Linked DNA regions of Saccharomyces cerevisiae S288C. The protein of the gene in region 1 interacts with the protein of each later gene in a pairwise test. Each region holds a gene or a part of one and is shown on either strand. Other genes may lie near its edges.

What was found. The genes of interacting proteins can lie anywhere in the genome.
Region 2: the proteins of SMF3 (region 1) and LDS1 interact in a protein complementation assay, tested with the Saccharomyces cerevisiae proteins (one large-scale study listed by BioGRID).

What each region holds. Positions count from the first base shown.
Region 1 is NC_001144.5:208,324-213,545, forward strand, and holds SMF3 (putative divalent metal ion transporter SMF3), read right to left. Parts: upstream 3,611-5,222; coding exon 2,189-3,610; downstream 1-2,188. Other genes in the region: DNA helicase RAD5, read left to right, coding at 1-177; RSC58 (Rsc58p), read left to right, coding at 438-1,946; mismatch repair protein MLH2, read right to left, coding at 4,046-5,222. UniProt on the Saccharomyces cerevisiae protein: Has a role in controlling the cellular iron ion levels. Mobilizes vacuolar stores of iron in conditions of low iron levels.
Region 2 is NC_001133.9:117,732-121,522, forward strand, and holds LDS1 (Lds1p), read right to left. Parts: upstream 1,811-3,791; coding exon 833-1,810; downstream 1-832. Other genes in the region: DNA-dependent ATPase FUN30, read left to right, coding at 1-583; serine/threonine protein kinase PSK1, read left to right, coding at 2,494-3,791. UniProt on the Saccharomyces cerevisiae protein: Involved in spore wall assembly.

The DNA of each region.
Region 1 (5,222 bases):
CATAGAATTGGCCAGACAAACAGCGTCAAAGTTATGAGATTTATCATACAAGATAGCATAGAAGAAAAAATGCTACGCATTCAAGAAAAGAAGAGAACCATCGGTGAGGCCATGGACACAGACGAAGACGAGAGAAGAAAAAGGAGAATTGAAGAAATCCAGATGCTGTTTGAATAGTCATACCACATACTCATATATAAAGACTTTATTTATTATTATTTTCAACCCGAAAGAACTAATTATTCTTCAGCTACTTCATGCAACTTCTATTATCTTCCTTTTCCGTTACCCGTATTTTTAAGTTGCAATTATTAAAAAAACAATTAAGAAAATAAAACAGCGCCATAAGGCATGGACGATAGAAATACGAAGACGAAGAAAATCATCATCAGTCGGGATCAAATAAGAGATAATTTTGAAAATCGAAAGTTTTCATTATGACAGAAAGTGTAGGTGGAAATAAACTAGTAGATTTTTTGGTAAATGTTCAATCCATTTTGAATGCTGCCTCTGTGAAATGTCATGTAGTAGATGAAAGTTTTCCAGCCAAGTTCTTTGAGAAAAATCCGGATAAGATATATGAATCATATTGTAAATTCATTAAAAATAGAAGTAACTCTGAAGGTTTGATACGTAATGAAGATAAATTAGTTTTGACAACTATCAATAAGAGGTTTGAAAATGGAGAGTACGAACCCATACAAGGTGGGTTTTATAAGCTGTATCACGACATTAAGCTGGTTTGTACAATCCTCATTCACTTTTATCCTCAGGGTACAAGAAACTACCAATTAGTCGACAAGTTCTACAAATTTTCTTCAGAGCTTTTATTACGAGAATGTTGTAGGATAGGAATTGCTCTAACGCAAACTAATAATATTAAATCAAGAAGTGGTAAGTTGTTGAGCGGAAACGAGATGGATGAATACGACGATGACGATGCAACAGAACTAGACAAAATAATCTCTTATGATTTTATTAAGATTTCTATGAATTACACAGTGCCGATTTCTCAAACATATCAGATAAGAACGAAGGATATGGACCTTTTTTCTTCGATAATTTCTAAATCTAATCTTGACAAAAGACCTCATGAACTTCCTAATACAAACTTCAAAATAAACAACGTCTTACCTCAAACTGATATAGAAAACGAAGCTCCAAGATTAGGATTTGTAGGCGCTAATACTAGTAATATTCCGGACCCTACGTTACCACCAACTGAAATGATGACTAGATTTTTGCATCCAAATTGGTATGCTTTACCTACAACCGTCTGGCTAAAATATGGTAATTATAATTCTTGGGCACCTTCCTTTAATGAAAACGGCACCGTTGTGGATTCGACAACAAGGGGTCTTATTTGGCTTGAAAGAATTGGTTATATGGACTTGTATGAAAAAAATGAAAAGAAAGTAAAACAAGAAGAATTACTGAACACGAATGAAGAAGGCATAAACAGGAAGCAGAACGATGAAAACAACAAAAATGTTGACGGCAAAAGCAATGGCGTTCAGGACGATGGTGGTGATAATGATAATGATGCGACTATCGCTTCTGCAAATTCAGAGAGTACTGAGAATAAGGAACAATTCATAATCAAGCTTCAAAACTTATATAATTGGACACCATCTAATTACATTGGAGATGACGAAATTGAGAACTTTCGAAATGGCACACCAGATAAGTTGGTTTCAGACTCTCTCTTAAAACTTAAAAGACTTAGAAAGGAGAGGATTTTAAATAAAGTTTTGAAGCCTACTACGGAGGAACGAGAATTATACTTCAAAGTGAAAAGAATACTAAAGGAGGTTATCTTAGCAAAGAAGGTTTCCAAGGTTCCTATAAACAATGTAAGGGCCTTTCCAGTATTACAAACAAACTATAATGGTAGCATACCTGTGGTAAGGGCGCAACCAGGTCGTAAACGGAAACACAAGAAATAAATAGTGTCAGCGGTAGTGGAATCAAAGATAAATAATGAATTATCTTTGTTTTAGTTTCATGAAAGCTCATCAAGTCTTTTTTGACTAATGTATGTTTATATTTTGATATTAGATAAAGTATGCATTTGTTCTGAAGGCTATGCATACGTAAGTATATACTTGGGTTGTATTATGCAGAATAAAGAAATGAGAGAAAACAAGAATCGAGAGAAAACGACACACTTGACAATAAATAGGTTCCATTAAAAATGGATGTCGGCACCTAAGAGATAGGAAATCACCAAATAGCAATTCAAGCTCCCGATTAAAGCCCATACGAAAACAGAGGTATAGGTCAACAAACGACTGTTAGTAAAATCAACTATTTTACTGTGCTTGGAGTTCAATGGAGTGGTTTCATCAGCAATGGCGTTAACATCGGCAGGTGCTCTTACCACACCATTTTCGTCATGAACAACCATCAACTTTCTATTTGCGGTAAAATAAATTAAAGGAGCGGATACGATTGGTAAAATTAAGGACAAGACCACTTGAGAAAAATTCAAAATATCTGAAATTCCCTTTTCCCCCATGGTTAAAGTAACAAATAAACATGGTACAATGGCAATCAATCTGGTGCACAATCTTGTGGCCCAAGGTGGTAAAGACCACTGTAAAAATCCCTCAGAAACGATTTGCCCGGCAAGTGTACAGATGATACCGGCAGATTGACCAGAACATAACATGGCCAATGCAAAGATTAACCCTGCCGCAGGAGATATGTAGTGGACCAGTAATTTGTAAATAGATAACAAATCAGCATCCTCTGCCTCAGGTTGGCCTGATAAAGTAGCACCTGCAACAATTAAAATAGCGGAATTAACAAAGGTGGCAATTAAGAACAAAGAAATGATTAGTTCAGCGTACGCATAGTTTAACGTATATTTTATAGCGCTTAAACTTGGGCGGGCATTAACCTTACCGTATTTCTTCAAATCGTAATCGTGCAATCTTGGTTTAACAATGGATGAGCCCAAGTATAATGAATGAGGCATCACAGTGGCACCTAAGATACCCAATGAAATGTAAAGAGCTTGTTGTTCCTTAAAAATGATATTTGAAGGCAAAAACCCTTTAAACAATTCAGCTTTGTCTGGGATTGAAACTTTAAACAGCTCCAAAACAAAGCAAATGCAAGTTCCAATGACCAAAATCCCAACGCCAAATTCGAAAACCCTAACTTTTTTTAAGGACTGGCCGTTTGGTGTGTAGAACATTAAAATTACCAAAACATCTAGCACCGTTAATAAGACACCCCAAGTTAGTGGTATTTTGAAAAGAATTTGTAAAGCGATGGCAGTGCCTACAACCTCGGCCAGATCAGTAGCAATGATTGCCACTTCAGCGAAAAGGTAAAGGGTATAGTTTAGCTTTTTAGGCAAATTATGACGACAGTTTTCAGCCAAATCATAGCCAGTGATAGTACCCAGCTTCACACAGAGACATTGCAAAAGTACGGCAAAAATGTTGGATATAAAAATAGAGAATAATAAGGTATATTTGTATTGAGCACCACCGGAAACACTAGTGGCATAATTTCCTGGGTCCATATAAGCCACACTGACTAATATCCCTGGCCCAATAAATTTGGCAAATTTTTGAAGAATCTGCATATAAGATCGCATTTTTTTTCTCTTGTGATGCTACTACTGTTATCAATTAGCTTGGAAGAACGATATATTTAAAGGAGTTCAGAAGGAAATAATAGTTTGGGTATGACAACTGAAAAAAAAAATGAACTAATATATAAAGGAACCCCGTATATTTATGTGGAGTGATCTTTGTCTTCTAGCTCCTTTGAAATAAATATTCAATTATGCAACCTCACAGAATCAGATGAATGAGATATATACAGTATAAATACCTTTAGTCGCATGACAACAGGATGTCGTAACAATGCAATATTAGAGCATTTTTAAGTTGACCCAAAACGGAAATTTCAAGGTGCGGAAACTGGAAGAGAGGCAGGGCGGGCAACAGGGTGCGGTTACCATGAGTTACAAACAATGGTCTATTATGAAGTAATCTATTGTGCTGAGTGGTGATAGTGCACCCGATCATCAGGGGCTGTCTGGCGTGAAGAGGCACCATTCATTTGTCGTGGCTTCAATGTGTCCCGGTTTCTTCACATGCGCTCGCAAGGCTTGCAAAAGACTGGAAGAAGGGCTTGTGGCATCGTCCCTCGATCGTAACCACAGAGTTTCTTTGGCAAAGTTATCGCTGTCATGCTTAACAATTTTTTCATTCTTCAGGGTATAGACGTAGTTGTTGGTATACTCGGAAAAATGCATGAGTTTCGGCCTTGTTTTGTGCATGCAGGATGCTTTCTTTATATAATTATCAGTTACTTTTTTTTTCGAATTTCGTGGAATGGTCATGTCCACGGTATTGTTTCTTTTACCGTAGGTTTGCTGAAGCTTTATTAGTTCCTTTTTTTCTGTATTTGAAAGCTGTCTTTCGTTGGGCATTCCCCTTTTATTGGCATCTCCACAGCTAGTACGTTTGGCCTCAAGTAAGTTTTCGCTCAGTTTCTTGTTGACGTTTCTTATTTTTGTGATCATAAAAGGATTAGAAATAGAAGCGTCCTTAGAAAGTTCTAAATCCTCGTTCTCTGGAATAGTTTCTATATAGTTATAAGTTAATGACGAGGGTAATGTTGAGGATCCAGCTCCTGCTACTTCACTATTTTCGCTTAGTTCTTGTTGGAAATTATGTCGCCAATTAGTACTGTCCTCGGAAGCCATAGACCCGGAACTCGAGCTTCTATAACTTGAAATGGTCAGCTGAGTTTGTTCGTCAAGAGCTTTATCCTCGCTAAATTTTGTAGGTGAAGGAGTAGCAGCGACAATGGTCGTATTCTCTAAGTTTGCTTCATCGTAAAAAGTTGGTACTATCAAATCTGAGTTTTTTTGTGGGATGTCAGTCTTGTCTTTACCACTAACAGCACCACAGCCCTTTGATATTTCATTCTCTGCGTCGGGTGTAGGTATCACCAGTGCGGGAGAAGTTTTTTCGTTGATAGAAGGCTGAACATGTTTATCTCCCAGCATATTTGTTTCGATGCCAATTCTCTCCTCCAATAACAACTTTAACTTATTCTCTATCTTCTTAAATATCACTTCAAAACTTTTGATCATCACGTCATTTTTCTCTGGTTCGATATTTACGTCAAGAAGCTTTGTATCGCAATTTAAATTAATAAACCAAACCATAGGATCTAGTAAAGAGAAATCTCTA
Region 2 (3,791 bases), on another chromosome or scaffold:
CCAACTTCATAATGACGAGTGGATGCAATCTGGGAAGATAGACGCTTTGAAAAAATTGCTGAAAACAATCATTGTTGACAAACAGGAAAAGGTGCTGATATTTTCCTTATTCACTCAAGTCCTGGATATTCTAGAGATGGTTTTGTCCACCTTAGATTATAAATTTTTAAGATTAGATGGTTCCACGCAAGTGAATGATAGACAACTACTAATAGATAAGTTTTATGAAGATAAGGATATTCCCATTTTCATCTTATCAACAAAGGCAGGTGGATTCGGTATTAATTTGGTGTGCGCAAATAATGTTATTATATTCGATCAAAGTTTTAACCCACATGATGACAGACAAGCTGCTGATAGGGCACATCGTGTGGGACAAACAAAGGAAGTTAATATAACCACTTTAATTACTAAGGATTCCATAGAGGAAAAGATTCATCAACTGGCCAAAAATAAACTAGCTTTAGATTCGTATATCAGTGAAGATAAAAAATCTCAAGATGTGTTGGAAAGTAAAGTTAGTGATATGTTGGAGGATATAATTTATGATGAAAACTCGAAACCGAAGGGAACCAAAGAATAAATAAATAAAAATATAGTAAAAAAGTAAATAGATAAGCAGAAAATAAACCAAAAAAATAACATATTTATTTTCTTCTGCGTGAACGCACCATGTGGAAAAAGAGAGTTGATAGAACAAAGGACAAAGAAATTTAGAACGGTAAAAATATTTTCTAGAGTATAATATACATATATGTGTATATATACATAGGTTAGTATGTATAGCTAGGTAATTTTAATCTGGGGAGAGAAATGGTGAACTTTTTTCAATTTATTGATTCGGTTGTTGATTGATATCTTGTGGTGCTGCTTCAATTTCAGCTTGAGTTTCTACTAAATTTTCAGGGACCATTGGATGATCAAGGTTAAATAAAACGCTACCAATAGTATTTGTAGAAATGGCAAAGCCCGCTAAAATGGGCACGGACTCAATCAAACCGGCCAAGAAACCAAATGAGGCATATTGGCCAGCGTGGAGATAAATATTTTCACGTCTTTGTATGTTGTCGAAATTTTGTAAACGTAAAACTTTCGTGAAGTAAATTTGAGTGATGAAAGGAGAAATTAAAATATGAAAAAGGATTGGTCCAATAAGTGGGAAAAAAGATATAACCAACAGCACAAAAAGAACCGACAGGCCTAACATGTACTTGACCAACTTGAATGGGAAATAGTAAGCCCAGAAATATATCGAGTTAATAGGTGCATAGTACTTGATTGGTTTGACTTCACTCAAATTCTCCTCTAAACCATTCTTCTCTAAGCACACCTCCACTAAATGATTATTAAAATGACTGAGTCTCATAAACAATAAAGTGAAAACATTTGCTTGCAAAAAGGAATGAAAAATGGCAATGAAAAGCCCAATAGGGCCCAGCACAATCAAAAAAGCTGTGTACATTGGCGTAATTGTAGCCCAATACACAAAGCTTACCAGGGCAAACATTATCAAGTAACTCGATAATATACCTAACATAGTCGTTGAGTAACTGCTCTTATTGGTGTTGAACTCTAAAAACCCTTTGAACGGGTACATGAATGCACCTCCTGTGAATGCATCTTTGAAAAAGTTCATTAGCACGTATCTGGTACGGCTCATAACTTTGCTGAAGTGCTTCTTGTAAACTTTATCCAAGTACTGATTGAAGGGGATGTTGACATATGGCAGTTTTTCATACGATTGGCCTCCGCCAAACTTGTACACCAAACCACCAATACCTGCCAGCGCTAATGAACCTGTAAAACTCATTTCCTGTTGTTGTTATTGTTTGTATAATGTACCTTTGTTCCCTACACTATAACAACACTTATTCGTGGCAAGAACGAAAATAAAAAATGATTTGAAACTTCCTTTTCCACATCTATATCTATATATATATGTATATGTATAATACTTATTACTATGATATTATTCCATGTGTCACAAAACCAGAAAGATCCCGTCGTATTATTGAGTCACGTGCTTTATTCCATGGCGGGTAATAAATATTAAAACAAGGGTTTTTTAAGTAAATGATTACATGCTAAGGAAGTGGTGAATAAGATTTGGCAAGGGGCAGGTCGCTAACCACAACATAGCATTCGTTGAAAAGGAAATCAACGTTACAAAGTGCAGTTTTTTGTATTATTTTCCTATTATCCTCTTCTTTTCCTTTGTTTCAGGCGTCGTTGCACCTTTTTGCTATACAAAAGCTCATAAAAGATTAGAAACCCCGGATATCGTCACAACAGCGGTATATTATAGTTATTTTGCATCTTTTTGGTAAGTCAGAAATTAGAAACAGTAGCTTACCAATTGAGTGAAAGTTTCCGTTCGTCATCTCCCTCTTTTGTTTTTTTTCACCTTTGTTTTTCTGTTTCTTCTATTTTTGTTTTGTTTTGTTTTGTTTTGTTCTCTCCCTAATTTGCATATAGGTAAACATCAAAGAAGTAATGCCCTACATCGGTGCTTCCAACCTCTCAGAACATTCATTTGTTAATTTGAAGGAAAAACATGCGATTACACATAAAGGTACGAGCAGTTCTGTAGCATCTTTGCAGACACCACCGAGCCCCGATCAAGAGAACCATATTGACAATGAATTAGAAAATTACGATACGTCTTTAAGTGACGTTTCAACCCCGAATAAAAAGGAAGGTGATGAGTTCGAGCAAAGTTTAAGAGATACATTTGCGAGCTTTCGGAAGACTAAACCCCCACCTCCTTTAGATTTTGAACAACCAAGACTTCCTTCGACAGCTTCTTCATCCGTTGATTCAACCGTATCATCGCCCTTAACGGATGAAGACATAAAGGAGTTAGAGTTTCTTCCGAATGAATCAACTCATTCTTATTCGTACAATCCACTTTCGCCAAATTCCCTGGCAGTCAGATTGAGGATTTTGAAGAGATCATTGGAAATCATAATACAAAACCCAAGTATGCTACTGGAGCCTACTCCAGATGATTTGCCTCCTTTGAAAGAGTTTGCGGGCCGTAGGAGCAGTTTACCAAGGACATCGGCTTCTGCAAACCATTTAATGAACAGAAATAAGAGCCAGATTTGGAACACTACTTCCGCTACTTTAAATGCATTTGTAAATAATACCTCTTCCTCCTCAGCAGCATCTTCTGCTTTATCTAACAAAAAACCGGGCACCCCAGTTTTCCCTAATTTGGATCCAACACATTCTCAAACATTCCATAGAGCCAACTCGTTGGCTTATTTACCTTCCATCTTACCTGAGCAAGATCCGCTGCTCAAACATAATAATTCTTTATTTCGTGGCGACTATGGAAACAACATAAGTCCTGAAAGGCCAAGTTTTAGACAACCCTTCAAGGATCAAACTAGCAATCTCCGCAATAGCAGTTTACTCAATGAGAGGGCATATCAGGAAGATGAAACTTTTTTACCGCACCATGGACCCTCTATGGATCTATTGAATGAACAAAGAGCGAACTTGAAAAGTCTTCTGAATTTATTAAACGAAACACTGGAGAAAAATACTTCCGAGAGAGCTTCGGATCTTCATATGATATCGTTGTTCAATTTGAATAAACTAATGCTTGGAGATCCCAAGAAAAATAATTCAGAACGCGATAAAAGAACTGAAAAGCTTAAAAAGATTTTGCTGGATAGTCTTGCAGAACCATTCTTTGAGCACTATAATTTTATTGGAGATAATCCGATCGCAGATACAGATGAACTAAAGGAGGAAATTGATGAATTTACAGGTTCTGGAGATAC